Drosophila melanogaster: one gene and its partner. The protein of the gene in region 1 interacts with the protein of each later gene in a pairwise test. Each region holds a gene or a part of one and is shown in the gene's direction. Other genes may lie near its edges.

The links.
Region 2: the proteins of CG4593 (region 1) and CG12206 interact in a two-hybrid assay, tested with the Drosophila melanogaster proteins (one large-scale study listed by BioGRID).

Annotation. Positions count from the first base shown.
Region 1 is NC_004354.4:7,009,360-7,018,795, forward strand, and holds CG4593 (uncharacterized protein), read left to right. Parts: upstream 1-4,527; 5' UTR 4,528-4,617; coding exon 4,618-5,247; 3' UTR 5,248-5,650; downstream 5,651-9,436. Other genes in the region: cm (carmine), read right to left, coding at 119-304, 415-867, 924-1,083, 1,160-1,485, 1,541-1,628, 1,698-1,732; sloth1 (sloth 1), read left to right, coding at 2,244-2,397, 2,459-2,544; sloth2 (sloth 2), read left to right, coding at 2,550-2,735; CG3032 (uncharacterized protein), read right to left, coding at 2,929-4,224.
Region 2 is NC_004354.4:3,469,189-3,479,955, reverse strand, and holds the start of CG12206 (uncharacterized protein), read left to right. Parts: upstream 1-5,431; 5' UTR 5,432-5,815; intron 5,816-6,505; exon of another isoform or gene 6,506-6,584; 5' UTR 6,585-6,807; coding exon 6,808-8,082; intron 8,083-10,767. Other genes in the region: CG10804 (uncharacterized protein), read left to right, coding at 1-564, 625-828, 924-1,345, 1,407-1,605.

The DNA of each region.
Region 1 (9,436 bases):
ATACACAGGGAGAGAGACGAGGGCTAGAACATCAAATGAAAAAAAAAAAAACAAGCGGAATACACTTAACGTTAGCTATTAATTAAAGCTGGAATTGGAATCCGGATGATGATTTTGTCTACATCCGCACCTGGAACTTGCCCGCCTTGGTCAGGTATTTGACGCCCTTGAAAGGCTTGTACTTCTCGCCGTACATGTCCAGGCGATTTACCTTTAGCCCAGAGACGGCCAGCTGCGAGATTTGGAACTGGACATTCACGGATGGATTGGCATCGATGTTGGTCGTACCGGGCGTAATGGAAACCTAGGCGTGCAAGGACAGTATATTATTAATGGGATAAAAATATAAATAATTTAAGACGTTAGATACATGAATCGTGTAAAAGTGTAAAGGGTCTCAATAGTTATTCTTACCGATCCCCTAATATTTGGCAACTTGGAAACATCGATCCGTCCCACATCCCAGGACAGCGTCTTGGTCACCGAATCGAAGGTATACTTTCCCTGATTCGGCGTCAATAGGCAATTAAGCACACACCGCGGCATGGTCAGCTCCAGCTTCACCTTGTCAACGGTGCGACCAAGGGTGTTCCTCGGGCCAATCGTGAGGTCCAGACGCCCCTGCTCACCCGTTTTGATCGAAAAGTTGTGCCTGATGTAGATGGGTATGGCCACCACGGACTGAGAGCTAATGTGATATGACATCAGGCGGAAGTTTCCGTCGGGCGGGATAAAGGAGAGCAGGCGCTCCGCCTCCCAGCGCTTGTAGCGCACGCAAGGATGGAAGGAAACGTCGTCGAAGAGGCGAGGATTCATGAAAGATAACGTCAGATCTGGCATGCCGGATAACTTAATGCAGCAGTCGATCTGATAAAAAAATAAAAGAGATAGAAATTATTTTTATAGACTTAAGTGAAACTTACGTGTCCCTGGATCTCGGCAAAGACCGTGGATCCGGATTTATCAATGATAGCGTCCACCTCCTCGATGACATCGAAGTACGCCTCGTTGTTGGTGTACCTCACGCCGCTTCTGCGCCAGCGAACCGCCGACAGCTGACCCGAGGGCAAAGTAGTGCTTACACTTCGGAAATCGGATTATTAATTGGATTATTAAGGTAAATGAAAGACAAAGACGGAGGGAGCATCATTCAACTTACTTGCTCTTGCCCGTCACCGTGTTGGCAATGGTGCGCAGGATATTGGGCGGCTTGATCAGCTCCTTGAGGATGTTGCTCTCGGTGGCCAGTGGGAAGCCATTATCGAGCATCTCGTCCAGCAGCTCGTAAACGACCACATAGTTGTCCTTGATCACGGACTCGGAGCAGTCGCCGAAATAGTCCTGGAAGGTGTCCACCACGCGATGCAGGAACTCGATGACAAAGAGCGGCGGCACCTCCTGCTTGCAGGCGGCGACCAAAGACACCGTGTCCCTTTGCACTGTAATCAGGTAGTAGTGGGGCGTGGCTATCACCGGCGGCACATCCTGCAACAAAGAGATATGGTCAGCATACAACCCATACGTGGCACGGGCGACTCACATATGGAGCAGCGCGCTGGGCGTCAAGGAAGTATTCGCACACAGATCTCGAGACAACCGAGCGCCAATGCTTTTCCAGGAAGACCTCGCTGAAATGCGGATATATGGGTATATGGGTATTACATCGTCTTCACATTTCACTTATAGGTATGGCTTACCCGCCGCTGTTTACAATAAACAGACTGTGTATCATAATTCGACCTAAATTGCTTGCTAGTTTAAGCTATGTTTTTTTTTCAGGGATGAATCATTAGCGATGACAGCGTGAAGGTGTTCTACTACCATGCTCCCGAAGCGCTTCAGTAACTGTTAAATAATTTCATTAAATTGAAATTAAGATAGGCTGAAATAAACGAACATTTATTTAAGGGGCCTTATACATAGTTAACTTATGAATTTATTTACTAACGTTGTGTTGTCATCACATCAGCTCATCACTAGCTCACTCGCTCATCTCTAATCGAACAGCTGATTGCTGCGAACCGGAACAAATGGAAATTGTATCGTGAGGCAAGTGGAGTTTCCCCTTTACTTTTGGCAAATAATAAATAAACAAAGGAACAAGCCTAAACATTTTCAATTAAACCATATACAGAACTAACGCACACATGTGACGGAGGCAATACACAAACACGGCACCTTTGAATCTCGCCTTAAAATTGGCGAAACCAACACGGAATTATATAACCGCCGGCTGAAAACACATGAGTCCGTACAGCGGATCCGTGCGTCGTCTGCTGGACAGTTGGCCAGGAAAGAAGCGCTTCGGTGTCTACCGCTTCCTGCCGCTCTTCTTTTTACTGGGCGCCGGCCTGGAATTCTCCATGATCAATTGGACAGTGGGCGAGACCAATTTCTGTGAGACTGCTACGCTTAAAACCTTACTTTTATTTACTAATACGGAATCTTTTCCATGCAGACCGCACTTTTAAGCGCCGCCAGGCGAAGAACTACGTGGAAGAGCAGCAGCATCTGCAGGCGCGAGCCGCGAATAACACCAACTAAGCAAAATGCCCGCCGGAGTTTCCTGGGGCCAGTACCTGAAATTCCTCGGCTGTGCCCTGGCATCCATGATGGCCGGATCGCAGGCTGTTCACCTTTACTATAAGCCTCTGGAGGACTTGCGCGTCTACATCGAACAGGAGCAACACAGCACACAGGTGGATCCCACCGCAAAGCCACCGGAATCTGCATAACACTGTGTACTAGACAAGTTATTGGTGACTAAAGCTATTTAAGTGAATGCCTGCTGTTTGTTGAGGAAAGGGTTGTTGGCATAGCACCTTCATGTCCTACGAAGAGCGTTACCTGTTCCAGAACATTCAAAAGACGCCACGTTTCCACTTAATCAGTCTATTTTAAAATCTTTTCCACTAAGGCTAGCTAAGACTACTTCTCGTGCACCTTCCGGTGGTTTTTAAGACACGTCTGCTGCCGGAAGGCCTGTCCACAGGTGTCGCAAATGTAGGGCTTCTCACCCGTGTGTATGTACTCATGGTGCCGCAGGGTTTTCCTAGAAGCAAAGCTCTCCGGACAGTGGTGACAGGGAAAGGGTTTCAGCTTTAAGTGGACTGCTCTCACATGGGCTTCGAGCTCGAATCGCCTGGCAAATCTTCTGCCGCAGTGCTCGCAGGGCAACTTGTCGTTCGAGTGCATCAGCATGTGCTGCAGCAGCATGAACTTCTTGGCCATCCGGCGTCCACAGACCTGGCATTCGTGGGGCAACTCTTCCTGCACCTCGTGCTGCTGCAAAGTGTGGTACTTGAGGGTGTATCGTGAATGGAACTCCTTTTGACAAATGTCGCAGAAATGGCGCTCTCCGGCGCCGCCCTCCCTGGCGGCCACCTCGTCCTCCGTGGGATGCTTTGTCTTAAGGTGGTATTTAAGATTCGCCGACTGGTTAAAGCTGGCTCCGCACTGCTCGCAGATGAATTTCTTCAAAGCATCGCGGTCACGCGGACTGTGCTTCAGCCTTTTGTGCTTCTGCATGGCTATGCGGCTGGTGTAGATTCTCTCGCAGCCTGGCTGGTCGCAGGGATGGCGTCGCTCCTTGGGGGCATGCACCTCTCGAATGTGGGTATACAGACCGCCCATGAAACTGTAGGCCTTCTCGCACTGATCGCATTGGAAGGGCCTTTTGCTGCCCTCGTGCACCTTACGGATGTGCGCTGCTAGGGTGATCTGGTGGGCAAAGCTGCGCCGGCACACAGAACACTTCAGGGTGTTCCTTGATCCCCTGAAGGACTTTCGGGGGGATTTATCACTTTTTATAGCCGGCTCATCGATGGGATCTGGGTCGGGAGCGGGTTCTGGTGGTTCCAGACCATGCAGAGACTCTTGGTCCTCCTCCCTGCCATCGTAGACTACTTCGAAAGTGGGTTCCCGTGGGTCTTTCTTCAGCATTTCCAGCAGCTGCTTCCTGCACTCGTCGGCTTTCCTGCGGAACTTTTCGAAATTCTGCACGGCGCTGCGGCATTCCAGGCACAGTTCGTTGGGCAGCCACTGCTGGTCGGCGTCCTGGTTCTCCACATCCTGCGATAGATTTATGTTGAGCAGCTGCTGCAGCTCCTGGCTGATTGGAATCTCATCTGATTGGAGCTCTGTCTTCAAGGGTTCCTTCTCCAATTGGAGCAGGCATGTGCAACAGAGTTCTCGTACGGATTCCCGGGTAAGATTTAAAGGCATTTTGTGGTTCTTTGAAAAAATTCAATTCAAAACGCTTTTTGTTAGGCGTTCCAACAGCTTGTTGTGGCTTTGTGAAAGAAGAAGAACATCAACTACAGTGCTCTCTTCAAAAAGCAAACAATAACTGTTTGACAACTCTGATTTAATATAAGTAGACGAATTTGTGAAAACGGTGTCCTAAAGAAATTTGAGTTATTAAAGCCAAATTAAAAGCGGAATTTATATATATACTAAGTGATACAGAAATCAGCACTATGCAAATTCCACTGTATTTCATTTGTATTTCAGACAAGACGTCGTCTGGTCACACTGAGCCAGAGGTGGACCTGAATCAAGCCTCCCAAGAAAACATATTTTATTCTATTTGCAGTTCGTCCTCTGGAATCTGGCGCAATGGTGTTCTACTTCAAGAGCAATGTGGTCCAGCCGCCGGCGATGCTATACATGGGTCGCGACAAGCACGAAAACGAGGAGCTCATCAGATGGGGCTGGCCGGAGGACGTGTGGTTCCATGTCCACGACCTGTCCTCGGCCCACGTGTATTTGCGGCTACGGAAGGGCCAGACAATCGACGACATACCCACCGATGTGCTGGTGGACGCCGCTCAGTTGTGCAAGGCGAACAGCATTCAGGGCAACAAGGTGAACAACCTGGAGGTGGTGTACACCATGTGGGAGAATCTGAAGAAGACCCCGGACATGGAGCCCGGCCAGGTGGCCTACCACAACGAGAAGGCGGTGCGTCGCATTCGCCTGGAGAAGCGCATCAATGAGATTGTCAATCGCCTGAACAGGACCAAAACGGAGGAGGAGCATCCCGATTTTCGGGGATTGCGCGAGGCGCGGGATGCCGCTGAGCGGCAAGATCAGAAGAAGATCCAGCGCGAGCGTCGCGAGCAGGAGAAGGAGGCTGCCAAGCAGCGTGAGCTGGAGGCGGAGCTGCGCAGCTATGCGTCCCTCCAGAAATCGGAGAACATGCGCACCAACTACGATGCCGGCAACGAGTCGGATGACTTCATGTAGTCCCCGGGTGGGCAGGACCAAGTCCTGGTGCACCCTCGCATTTACCCAAAACATCCTTTGCCATCCTCGACCTTTCTTACTCTATCAATCGCACATCATTTTGTAAATGCCATCTTTTTGGTTCATTAGAACGTTTGCGGCAGGCATTGCCAAAGAATTGCAGTGTGAGAAAAAAAAAATATAGATTGTAAATATAATAATAATAATAACAAGAAAGAATGCTATAGTCGAGTTATACCATTTTCTCAGCTAATGTGAATGCGAAATTTAATCATTTTCCTGGGATATCGAAAAATATTGGGGAAAAAATGACGGTTTTAGTGCGTTAGACTGGGCGTGGATGAAATTTTTTTTTTAAATCGATAGAAATTTAAGCGACTAATAAAATTGTGAAAAACCATCCAAACACTTATTAAAAATGTGGTCGTGGCAGTTTTGGGCGGTTTTACGGCGTGGGCATGGCTAGATAGAATCGGCTATTGAACCTGATCAAGAATAGATATACTTTATATAGTCGGAAACGATTCCTTCTGCCTGTTACATACTTTCCGACGAATCTAGTATACCCTTTTACTTTACGAGTAACGGGTATTTTGTGAGCAACTGCACTGCTTGCCAGTGTATAGTTAGTTTACTTTGTCACAGGTGGCGTGTTAAGCTCAATTCAAAATTTGAGTTATCGATATGAAACTGTAATAAACATATATTCGTTTTATTTACATGTCTGTAAACTTATCAGCAGAGGCTGGTTAACATTAGGAGAAGCGAACAGTCTGGCAACTCCATAAGTAAATTTCAAAAATGCCCGCATACAAATTTAAAAACTCATTCCGAATCGGTTGATTTCCATTTGATTGTGCCGAAGACAATTCGCGCTATCATCTGTCACATTTCCCACAATTTGATCGGCTCTGACAGCATCTGCAGCTTAAGCCTTTTTTTTGTTTTGGGTTTTCAGTTAATATTTTTTTTTTTTTTGCCCATCTTTATGATTGCTTATGTTTATAGTTGGGCGCCGTTTGGGGGCTCTGCCGTTTGCTGACCGTTTTATGGCTTCAACGGCTTGTTGCCTTTTTGAGTTTCTGGACAATTTGCTGTCAGCACATGGAAATGAATGGCTGCACGGCTGGCAAATCTTGTGTCAGCAAGAGCCGCACTCTTTTCGGCTCGGTAACGCACTCATTATCGGACATTTTATTTTCAGGCATTGTTCGCAACAACAATGGCAGCCAAACAACAATGGGGAAGCCCCCGAAAATGCGGCATGCGAAGAACTTGATGAGGCTGCGTGTCCTTTTGATAATGCCATACCAATCTCCTCCTTTTCGCTGTGCTCCGTCATTATGGCCAGTCGTAAACATTGATGACAGTGGGGCTGCACTCGGGTTACGCCCCCTTATCCGCCTGCCCCTGATTGATTCCCGGCGCCTGTGGCATTGTTTTCTCTGATTTAAAATGACTCTGCGAAGATGGTTTATGACCGCCTGGGCAGACAGATGTATGTATGTATGTAAGTAAGTCTTGCTTGGCTATAATAAAGTGGCATGACCATGAAAGTGGCCAAACGGGGGGTCACTGTCAAAGGAATCCCTCGGATATATCCCCCTCTTGGCCATCAGTAAGCGGCAATCGTCGTCATTAATCAAACTGGCAACAGTAAGCCCCCGCATTCCCCAACCCTCGTCAACGAAAGCTTCTCGCTTTCGCTCTTTATTGCATTTGTCACCACAGCATGAACAATGCACTGTTCGAAAAATTGTATGTTTTCACTTCTTTCACACAGTTTAATCGTGAAAACACATAACTTAGTTCTATCATTTTCTCGCTGTGCACGCAAACCTCTAGGACTGGTGAGAAAGCACACACATTGTGCTGGCGATGTGGGGAATGTCCATTTCCAGACACAACATAATTAGAAGCCGCAGCCTGGTGTTTTCTTGAATCTACGAAAAGGCACGAAACTGATTAACTAGTGGCTTTCGTACCAAATGCAGCTGCATATGCAGCTACGATTAATCAAAGTGGCCTACAGAATGGATGGCAGCTGGAAATTGGCTGGCTAAAAGCAAACGTTCGTGTTTTGGTAATCAAGTTTCGTATTTACTTGAACTCGATGTACGCCGGCCACTTGGATTGCAGCTAGTTGGTGTCCTAGTCCGGAACATTCTGGACCATCACTCATCCTGGCAGCGGTGGAAGGAGGCCATCCATCACATCAGTTGGTCCACTATTAGCAGGGCAGCAAAGGCGGAACCATTGTGCATTAATTTAAAATATTCGCCATCTTGATGGGAGATTAGCTAAGCTGCAGACCTCAAACAGGACAAGCTATGCACTCTAAATAATGGGGGTAATGTTGTCGATTTGATCTTAAATGAAAATACGCATGATACTGATAAACAGAGGAACGAAAATTAGAACGACTTGCAGCTTTCCAGCTTCAGCTGCAAAAAACAGTATGTTTTTTTTTTTCTCTATTTTTAGTAAGAAAAATATCAGAATTTTACGTACAACTTTTGTAATGGAAGTTCGAATGTGGAATGCCATACCTTGTTGAATTCGTAGCTTAATTTCCTATCGAGTGGCATTCCCAGCTAAAAATTTTAAAATTTCACGATTTTTCGAAAAAAAACGTGATGTTACCCCTTATAAAAAAGTGAAAATTTCGAAAAAAATTATTTTTACCAAATTATCTAAAAAATGAAATGGGTCGGTAGGTGAGGTTGTCAGCTGCAAAAAACAATATGTTTCGTATCTGTGCGCCTTAATTTTGCGAAGTTACAACTAAAAAACCAATTAAAAAATCGTTCATTTTGGCAAACAAATGTGTTATGATTTTTACTAACAAAAATGTTCGGATTTTATCCACAACTTTTTTAATAGTCGCTCAAATGCGGAATGCCATACATTGTTGAATTCGTAGCTTAATTTCCTATCGAGTGGCATTCCCAGCTAAAAATTTTTAAATTTCACGATTTTTCGAAAAAAAACGTGATGTTACCCCTTATAAAAAAGTGAAAATTTAGAAAAAAATTATTTTTACCAAATCATCTAAAAAGGGTAATGGGTCGTTAGGTTGGGTTGTCAGCTGCAAAAAACAGTATGTTTCGTATCCGTGAGTCTTATTATTGCGAAGTTACAACTAAAAAACTAATAAAAAAATGATAATTTTGGTAAAAAAAAGGTCTTGATTTTTAGTAAGAAAAGTATCAGAATTTTACGTACAACTTTTGTAATAAAAGTTCAAATGTGGAATGCCATATCTTGTTGGATTCGTAGCTTAATTTTCTGTCGAGTGGCATTCCCAGCTAAAAATTTTTAAATTTCACGATTTTTCGAAAAAAACGTGATGTTACCCCTTATAAAAAAGTGAAAATTTAGAAAAAAATTATTTTTACCAAATCATCTAAAAAGGGTAATGGGTCGTTAGGTTGGGTTGTCAGCTGCAAAAAACAGTATGTTTCGTATCCGTGAGTCTTAATTTTGCGAAGTTACAACTAAAAAACCAATAAAAAAATCGCTAATTTTGGTTAAAAAATGGGTCTTGATTTTTAGTAAGAAAAATATCAGAATTTTACGTACAACTTTTGTAATAAAAGTTCAAATGTGGAATGCCATATCTTGTTGGATTCGTAGCTTAATTTTCTGTCGAGTGGCATTCCCAGCTAAAAATTTTTAAATTTCACGATTTTTCGAAAAAAACGTGATGTTACCCCTTATAAAAAAGTGAAAATTTAGAAAAAAATTATTTTTACCAAATCATCTAAAAAGGGTAATGGGTCGTTAGGTTGGGTTGTCAGCTGCAAAAAACAGTATGTTTCGTATCCGTGAGTCTTAATTTTGCGAAGTTACAACTAAAAAACCAATAAAAAAATCGCTAATTTTGGTTAAAAAATGGGTCTTGATTTTTAGTAAGAAAAATATCAGAATTTTACGTACAACTTTTGTAATAAAAGTTCAAATGTGGAATGCCATATCTTGTTGGATTCGTAGCTTAATTTTCTGTCGAGTGGCATTCCCAGCTAAAAATTTTTAAATTTCACGATTTTTCGAAAAAAACGTGATGTTACCCCTTATAAAAAAGTGAAAATTTAGAAAAAAATTATTTTTACCAAATCATCTAAAAAGGGTAATGGGTCGTTAGGTTGGGTTGTCAGCTGCAAAAAACAGTATGTTTCGTATCCGTGAG
Region 2 (10,767 bases), 3.5 Mb from region 1:
TGGTATCGCACCACATTGCAGTGCTCGGAGAGTGTGGATATGCCGGAGAACTTCAATTACCACATGGCCATTGCGCTAATTGTCTCCTGGTTTTTGGTCTACATCTGCATGGTCCAGGGCATCACGTCATCCGGCAAGATCGTCTATATGACGGCCATATTCCCCTATGTGGTGCTTATAATATTTTTTTTTCGGGGCATCACCTTGAAGGGTGCTGCAGATGGGGTGGCACACTTGTTTACCCCACGATGGGAAACTCTATTGGATCCAGTCGTTTGGCTGGAGGCCGGCACACAGATCTTCTTCTCGCTGGGATTGGCCTTTGGCGGTCTGATAGCCTTCAGTTCGTACAATCCGGCGAATAATAATTGCTACAGGGACGCCATACTCGTATCGCTCACCAATTGTGGCACATCCATGTTTGCCGGAGTGGTGGTATTCTCTGTCATTGGGTTTAAGGCCACGGCGACCTTTGATCGCTGCACTGAGGAGCGTAATGGGCTTGTGGCCCAGAACAAGACGCACAACCTGCCTGTCTGCGATCTTCAAACGGAATTGGCCAATGTGAGTTCACTTGCTATATGCTTACACGGAATATATACATATATATATTTACCATTTCAGAGTGCTTCCGGAACAGGTCTGGCCTTCATCATCTTCACGGAGGCGATCAATCAGTTTCCGGGTGCACAACTCTGGGCTGTCCTATTTTTTCTGATGCTCTTTACCCTGGGAATCGACTCGCAATTCGGTACGCTGGAGGGCGTGGTCACATCCCTGGTGGACATGAAACTTTTTCCCAACCTGCCCAAGGAATATATAGTGGGGGTGAGCCATTCTTATTTCTCAACTTCTTTACTCTGATTTATTGATGTTTTTCCTAGTGAATTTAATAATCAATTGAAATTTCATTTCTTTTGCAGGCACTCTGCTTTTCCTGCTGCACAATCTCCATGTGCTTTGCCAATGGAGCCGGGAGCTATATATTTCAATTGATGGACAGCTTTGCAGGCAATTTCCCGCTGCTGATCATTGCGCTCTTCGAATGCCTTTCGATTAGCTACATCTATGGGGTACGCCGTTTCTCGGACGATATTGAGATGATGACCGGTTCGCGTCCGAATTTCTACTGGATGTTCTGCTGGAAGTACCTATCGCCCTGTGCAATGGTCACCATTCTGCTGGCCTCCTTCTATCAACTTTTGACCGAGGGCAGTAGCTATCCTGCCTGGATTGGATCGAAGGGAGCCACTGAGGGCATGGAGTGGCCGCACTGGTGCATTGTCGTTGCCTTCTTCCTTATACTCTCATCCATTCTGTGGATACCAATTGTGGCGGTGCTGCGGTAATTAGCCAGCCTATGACTTATGTCTTATGATTTCACACACACATATTTCGTATTTCAGTCTGTGCGGAATCAAGGTGGTGGAAGACTCGGATCCCGCCTGGTTTCCCGAAGCGGAGCTAAGGGAAGTCCACGGCATCGTGCCACACGAACCAACCGAACTGGAGCGCAGCATTTTCTGCTTCAACATGGACGGTACGGAGGGCATGTGTTGCCCAAAGTACGGACTACCCGAAAAGTCGCTGGAAGAGGAGGAGTAGACACGCACAGGATACCAATGATAAGTTGACAACAACGACAATAAAACCAAATGAATTCTTGACCGAACCCAAACCGAATATGATACGAATGATGAAATATATATAATTGAATCTCGATGTAAATATGGACAATAAGTAAGCACTCACCGATGTTAGATGCGGCGTCGATATCAAAACACTCCTATATGGTCGTCCCAAAGACTGTTTGAAGATAAAACAAAAAAAAAAAAAAACAAAACCGAAAAACTATAATGCAAAGCAACCACAACAAGGAAAATGAAAATAGGAAAATAGCAATACTAGGTAAAACTCGACGCTGGATGCGCGGTTTCATTCAAGCAGAAAGCTATAGAAATGCATTAAAAAAAATGGGCGAAATCAATGGAAATATTTCCGCATAACTTCATTAGCATGTGGCCATATACATATATACGCGATTATTGTTTTCCATTGCCTTTCTTCTTTGGTTTGGTTTTGGTTTTTTTTTTTTTTTTTGTCGAAAAAGGGCAGAGAGAGTTTAGAGTTTGTTATATGGCCACCCTTATAGGGTCTACATATCCGATTTCGCTATCAAAGAGAAAACGTACAATTTGCCACAAACACAATTTGCTGACTATATACGATATATATATGTATGATAACTATATTCGACTAACTATGCTATATTCTAGACTTAATTCTTTAATTTGACCATATCATGCAAGGGACATCGGGGAGGGCACCACCTATATAGAAGATATATAACTATAACTATACAGTGACTATATCAAGCACAGTTCATTCTCTGTTGTGATCTCAGCTCGACGGCTTTCTGTGTGAATCACGAAATCATATCACATTCGAAACTATGCTTAAAACCTAAAAAAACTACTTTAAAGTCTCAGTGTTTTAGATATTTGATGGCGGAGATATGTATGTATATTGGAAATGAGTTATGTTTTGCTCTAATCGAAAGTTATACGAATAAAATTACTTGTTGGTAATCGTTATCATCGCCACACTCCATTGTACTTATGGCCTATAGGTATATCTGTAGTTATATATATATACATATACATATACATTTACATATACATTTACATTAAAGAAAAACATTAACAAATCGCAAACGCAACCGTTCAAATAGGTGGAAAATGAACCCTATAAAGATATACATATACATAACTGGAGATGGCAGCTTAAAGTTAAACGACTCATTATTATATATATATACATTTATTTATGTGTGTTTGAAATGCAGCTAATGGTCGCGTGAATTCGTTTTGAAACACAATTCTGGACACTTCTGGGCATTTTTAAAATCGATCAAAAATTAAAAACCCTTGAAAAAGAAATTCACTCCTCCATGTAGCAATGGATTGCACTGTATTATAAGTTATCAATTTCATTATGGTATACTTATACATATATATACATCGATATATATTATACACATCTATTTAGATCGAAAGGAAAACATATATTATACATGTATTTAATGTTATTGATGTTGACAATAAAGGAACCCTTACGAAACGAGTTTTAAACCAAAACGAAAGAGACGCGATATATGGGCGACCTTCTATTACCCGCAAAGAATACGCAGATGGAACACACGCAGTTTGCAAAAACTTGAAAATGAATAGTAATATATTTACGATAAACAATTAAAATCATATTGCTAAAAAAAAAAAAATTCGATGATTATTACAGAATTTGTTATCCTTATTTTGCTAGCTCACAAGAAACTTCTAATTGATGTAAAATTCTTTCATTTGCATTGAAACACATGAAACTATGATATAGATAATTCAACGTATGATTATTAACTTATGTTAAACTTGCAACTGTTAAGTCATAACAACAATTGCAACTAAATGACAATAAATAATAAAAAAAAAAAGCCTACGTTCATATGGTATTTTAATTGGCCACAAAAAATTGGGATTATTTTTTTTCTTTCACTTTTCAATTAGCCTACGACTCCTTTACAAATCCTGAATTCATAAAAACTTCTCCATTGATTAGTGAAGCTTGGCTAGTTTCTTTTCACTGACTAGAAGTAATACACAGTGAAAAAAAAATGGAATTAAATTGTTAAATGTAGATAAATAAGTTGTAAAACATATACAAATGTAACGAAAGGCGACAAAATTCTTTAAAAAATATTTTTTTTTCATTGGCAATCGATGGACAAGTGTCACTCCTTTCTCACAGTGCAGCAAAGTGTGTGAGTGTGTGTGCGCATGTGCAACGGTAATCTGAATTGGCCAACGCCTGCAGCAGCCCTTGTGACTTCAGCGGAGCGCAACAGGCGGAAACAAACTGGCCAAGTGACCGGCCATCGTGCTGGGCGGAGCGGTACCTCTACCACTGGGGGCGGTACGGGTGGCGGTGGCAAGCACAAACATACATAAGTACATACATACGTACATGCATACCATACATTAGTGGTCGTCATCGTTGGACGTCTCACTGCATCGAATTAGCGGTAAATTACAAGCTGCAGCGCCTGTTGCATGTGGCTGCTGCACTCGTACTTTCTGCATACTGCAAGTGCAGCTTTACATTCCGTTGATTGCACACACAAATTCGAGGCGTCTTTCTTTCGGTTTTTTTCTTTTTTTTTCTTTCCTTTGCATAAACACTTTGGTATTAAATATAATTAAAAGCTAAAATCCATTTGGCAATTGTTCAGCCGGAGCGACGAAGTCGCTTGATGGAAAGTTGTTGTTTATGCTTAAGTTGTACATATGTACATATTTCTAAGGCGGAAATTTCTGGGCGACAATGCGACCAATGCGTCCAAAGAGGAGGATTCGTTTGAAACTAGAATCAGCATGGGGTCAACTCGTTAGCTTTTTCAGCTTCAGAGATCCAGAAGTGCATATGTTTATTATATATATATATACATATATATATTTCTTGGTTCGAACTGAACCAATTTGATCGGCAAGCTGTTTTGATTGCCAGCGGAATCGGAATTCCTGCTCTCGTGTTGAAGTCTCAATCGCGTTATCGCCGCACCTGAGCCCCTAAAAACTGAAAACCAGTTTGAGGCCTTGCCACATTCCATTCAGCCATCCAATTGCCACTGCCCACTGTGCCCCGCGCACTCTCGATGTCCCACTGTGCAGCTGTGGCACCAAACAATTAACTTTGGCAACAAACGAGTACTGCGCCGCCAGCAACAGCAGCAGCAACAGCAGCGGCAGCAACAAGACCAGCAATAACAATAACAATAATAAAAGCGACGGACAAGTGCCGACGTCGACATGGGCAGCGACTGCGGCAGAGGCAGCGCCGTCGACAGCGGCTGCGCATGCGCACGTAAACAAATTCTCAGCGGCGCATATTTGTTGCCCGCTTTTTCCTTTGGGGTAAGTTGACTTTTGCACTCATCGTGCAACATGCAGGCTATGTCAAATAAATGCAACCTATTTCTATGCATTTAATAATAAATATAATATATTTTCAATATAATTGAAAAATAATTAAGCAAATGTGTAGCAAGTAAATATTATTAATTATTAGGGCAATACTTGAAATCTGACTTAATTGCGTACTTAATAAGCTAATAAATCTGCTGACAGTGTATTTAAACCATCGCCTTGAAGCTCTTTTATTTTTGTTTTAGGTAATTTCAGCGGCTGCTGCTTTTTTTTTGTGAGTTTCTTGAAAGCAAAAATTAAAAAAACCTCAACAACAACTGGCTTGAGAAAGAGTCGGCGAATGGGCGGCAGACAGAGAGGAAACTATGCGAAGAAGAAGAAGTGGTAAAAAAAAAAAAAAAAAAAAAACAATCCCTGGCGAAACACGCCAACCCAAAGCGACTTTGTTGCTGCGGCTTCAGTTGCCAGCGCGATTTTGAATGGATTGTACGCGCGGCGAGTTCTCAAAAGTCGTGTTTTCAAGCCGATATACATGTGCATATATATACATATATATTACATATAGTAACTGAAGAATCCCAACGAAAGATCAAAGATTGATAGTAAGCACAGCAACATGAAAATCTAAAGGAAAAAAACAGACTGCGTGCGTGTGTGCAATATATGAAAAAATATAGTCCAATAAAAAATCTCTGAATTTTTTGATTTTTTCGATTTTTTCAATTTTTGTTTTATTTTTGTGTGTGTGTTTGTTTGGTATGCTATCAAATGAAAATTGTGTGCAATAAGCGGCGAATGCAGGCCAGCAGCAGCAACAACAACAACAGCAATACCAACGGGTAAATATTTCCAAACAACAAACGAAAAAAAAAACACAAATACCAGGTTCAAGTGTAACCAGTTTCCAGATTCCAAAGAGAAAAAAAAAAATCGTAAAAAACCGCAGTCAAAAATGCCGCGGGCTGTGCGCGCCCAATATTTCAAGTTCCTCCTCAGCAATTTAAATGTAAATTCCGACTCGTTCTTAAGTTTGAAGAACATTCACTGTCGGAATCGAAAAAGTTGCTGCACTAATCGATACGGCTTGCTACATACATACATATGTAGCTACATTAATAACGAAATGATATCTGAAGTTGATTTCGTTACAATAACTATCTTTTGTTTATATTTAAATTGTTTCAATTAATTGCTTAGTTTACAAATATGTATAGAAAAGAAATGATTAGCTGCAAAAATTACAGGGTATTCAGAATTTTATATTCCTTTTGCTTACGACATTCTTTAGCCAGTTCTTTCTGCTTTTTGCGGTGTTTCGTGTTTATCATTATTATGATTATTATTATTTTTTTTTTTGTCTGGTTTCCCATCTGTATTTTTAGTATGCTGGTAAAGCCTTTAACATTTATTCAGCATCATCTTCAACTTAAATGTCAAGCTCGTGTGGCGGCGTCTAACACACTTGGAGAAATTGAAAATACCTATCTTGGTTAGCTTTGGGGTCATATTTAGACATTTTTTAGACTATTAGAATCTCAACGGCTCGTCAAAATTTCAGTCGAAAATAAATAAAACTTTATTTCATTGGCATAAATACATTTCTTGCAGAGGCAACTGCGGCAATTACTTCAATCGTATGCAGGCGGCATTCTAACTGTAAAGCACTTGGCAACGGTCAACGGCAGAGACAGAGGCAGAGGCAGAGGCAGCTGCAAGTGGAACGCACAGGAGCAACATCATTAGCCGGCACTTGATTGCATCAGCTTGGAGGCACGAGATCTAGGCACTGGATATCTGAAATCGGATATCGACAACCAGATGCTGCAGAACCATGGCGGCAATTACTAGCAATGTGTCGCGATTGGAGCCAATGCGCGGTATTTCCATAATCATTGAATCGCCAGAAGTGGCAACGGCAACACCACCACCAGCAACAACAACCGCAACTGCCGAAGCAGAAGCCGCAACAAAACAAGTAGCACCAACTGCCAAGAGCAACAGCAACACTGAAATGTCGCTCAAGTCACAGGCTGCTGGCATGTTGCTGGCATTTGGCGACACAGCAGCAACAGCCAAAGATAATTTGGAAACTAGTTACGACACTGCAGCAAAGTCGACAGCAGCACCAGAGACCAACAAAATCTATCCGCAGTTACTGTTGCGCATTGGCGGAGAAATTGCCGGTGCAACAGCATCAGCAGAAGCAGCAGCATCAGCAGCAACAGCAGCAGCAGCAACAGCAACATCACCGACCATAATCAGCTGCAATGGTGAAATTGCCGCCAGTCAAGCAGCAGCAACAGCAGCGGACACAGCGGCAACATTGCAACACAACAATACGGTGAAGATTCAAATCGAAAGCCAGGGTCAGCAGCGAACACTGGGCAAGCAGATAAGTGTGGTGAAGCTGAACGAGGGCGTGGAGGAGATGCAGCAGCACATGTGCTATTTGGTGGACACCAGTGGCCAGTACTCGCCCTGCGAGACCTTGGACAGTGGCACGGGCAGCGATCTGGAGAATCATCCGCAGCAGCAGCAGCAGCCGCAACAGGTGAGATCACCGCAACTGGAGCTTCATCTGCAGACCACGCGGCTGATGGTCAACGAGGAGGCGGACCATAAGCACAGCCCGCTGGAGACGCCGAGTCCCGTTCCGAAGCGAGCATATAGCCTCACCGATGACAGCGAGGAATGCGATGAGAGCAGCAACTCATCGCTAAGCTGCGATTCCCTGCACTCTGGTGGCCTGCTGCCCACTACCCTGCTGCGGGATATTCGATTCAGGGAACGAGCGTCCGGTCCTCTGGTCACCAAAATCAATGGCAGACCATTGCAATTCGAAACGGATGGCTATTACACATTCCATGTGCGCGAACACGAGAATTTCCGGAGTTTTGGTTCCAATTCCTCGACGGAATACGAAGCGCAGCACTTTACGGATGAGCAGCCGGGTGAGGATTTTGTTGGCTTTCGTGACATTCGAACGGCGGGCAAGCTCGCCGGCAATTCTACAATTAAATCCGCCAAGGGAACCGTACGGGGCGTCAAGAATCGTGTGCGCAATGGAGTAGCCACCTTCTTGCAACTGCAACAGCCCAATGTCAAGGTGAGATTTGCTAATAAGAGTAAGCAACGAAATCAGGTTGAATACTTTGTTTGAGATAGTCTTTTCCAATGAGAAAAACAGCGAAACAAAGCCCATTCAACAATAAAAAAAAGGCATGGAAAATGTGCAATGTATTCGTTGAATGGATACATTAAGCGAATTCATTAATTGCAATTGCAATTTAAGTGAACAATTTCAGCAATGAAAGTCATTGCATTCACCATTGGCACTCAAAATTTAAAAAAAAAAAAAAATGTAAGAATGTCAGAATGTCAATTCCGCCTTAAATCAAAATCAAATTATTTATCGAATTTAAAAATATTTTCAGTTTCGTTTGTATTAAATTAGCGCATGAGAAATTCGAATAAATATTTGAATACCACAAAACTACAATATTATGCGCCAACTTTGAATATGATTCACACAAACACTCATTCAATTGCATGTGGGGGTTATTCATTGAGAAAGTTTTTTCGGTATGGATTTCTTTTTTTTTTTGTGTGTGTGTATTTTTGAACATTTTCGTATTTGTTGTTTAACTTTTGCCTTTGGGTCGCTGACTTTTTCACACCTACACTGGAGATGCATTCGAAACTAAAGATACAAGTATAGTATTGCAGTTGGGCGTCATTATGCAATGCTGATTTATATGTATATTTAAATACATACATATATATTGCATGTGAGGGATCGTTTGTTGGCCTGTGTGAAAGTGAATCCAGACATTTCGGTGATTCATTGCCGCCTTTTTTTTATATATATTTTTTTTTTTTATTTCATTACGATTATTATTGAGAAATTTCTTTCACGAAAGACAATTAACACCTGACTGCCGCTGTCTATTTGCGGAGCTTGTTGTTGCTTGATTCGCCATTAAGCGGCTTAATATGTCGCATACGCCCTTCATTTCTATATGGATATCAAATCCGAAAAGGCAAAAGAAAGCTAAAATGCTGACGGAAGTACAAAGCCAGATAGTCGGCTAGATAAGTTATACATATAAAGTTTGCCTTAAATGATCCGCCACCTGACTAATTGCAAGTGTCTTTTTGTCTCGTTGTCTTATTTCTCAAACCTTTTGATTTCGGTTTTCTCTTTTGTGGAAAGTTCTCTTCTAAACGAGGGGGGGTTCCAAAAAAAAAAAACAAAACGAAAACCAAAATTAATTGACCTATTTTTTGGTGGAGGGGAAGCGCGTCGAATCGCAGTTTTATTGTGCCAGAATTGGCCACGCTCGCACTTCTGAAATACCCTCGATTTTTTTTTTTTGCCCTGTCATCGGGTTGATCTCTGGCCTATTGTATATCGCTTTTAAACGCCTTTTTAATGTGAGTTTTGCGAAATCAATTTACCAGACAGGCGGTATCGAGTTAACCCTGGACATTGAGCAACTATTACAACATCTACCTAATAATTGGTGTTCGATCTGATTGGCTAAGTGCCACGCGGGCAGTTAAAACTTTGATGGTAGTTCAATAATTTCAAGTATCGGTACATTTTCTATTATCTTACATTACATTTATTACCATTTGTGTAGATTCCAAAACCTCTGTGGCATTAAGCAACCTTCGTGAATTTATATAAAATACGACGACAACTCTATCATAGGGCTGTCACCCCCATGAACTTCAAGGGAGTTCATCAATATTTCATCCAAGACTCAATCAAATATATTTGACTGCCTTCTCAACGAATTAAATGTCAACTTCTTTGGCGACTCACACGTTTTTGTTTGGTGATTTTTCTTAGTCAAATTAGCAAAGCCAACCTTGAAACCAAAATCAATGTATAATTATTGCTAAAATAAAAAAAAATGAAAGATACCAAAAATTATTTGGCTAAAAACAGCTTGCATAATTTGTTCAAGAAACACACAAATTATCATAATAAAGAGCCACTAATGCGTTAATTATGCAACAACAACAACAACAACAGTAACAACAATCGGATATACTGAGCAGACAGATCGAATTATATTTTATGGGCCGCAGCCGATTCCTTTTGCCTTTTGTTTCAGATACGAGTTTTTTTGCATTTGGAGTGGTGTCATTAAAATATCATTTAGCTAATTTGAGTTTGAGCACACACATACATACATACATACATACATACATACATACACACATCTACCAATATAATTTTGTGAACAATCATGTCTAAGTTTAAGCACTAATCGGTTTGGCCAAAAAAAAAAAAACGAAAGTTTATGTGTGTAATGACCCGATAACAAGCCCACTTGCACACGAAAGTCCCCTTCCAAAGATTGAAATTGAATATTTTAACCAAAAATTGCTATAGTAATTTCACTATATTATATATAGCATTTTACAGCACTACAGAAAAGGTGGCAAAAAGACCCTTTCAACAAAATGAGAAAGTATTTAAAATTTGCTGGCCCTAACTACTAATTTTCCTATTTAAGTTGTTTGTTGTATAGTTTAAATTGCAGGAAAACCTTTTAACCTGCTCCCAATTGAGTAAACGAATAAAGAGACAATGGAGTAATTTTATGTCATAAATAGCAAGCTTAAAAATTAGATAAAAAGTAACAATTTATCAGAATAAGTAATCCCACCATTTTTTGTTCCGACAAATATTTCGTATTGAAGATTCACTTGAAAACAATATAATCCCGTGTAGAAAAACTTTTTCATTTGAGTAACAATGCATATTTTTCTATGCGCC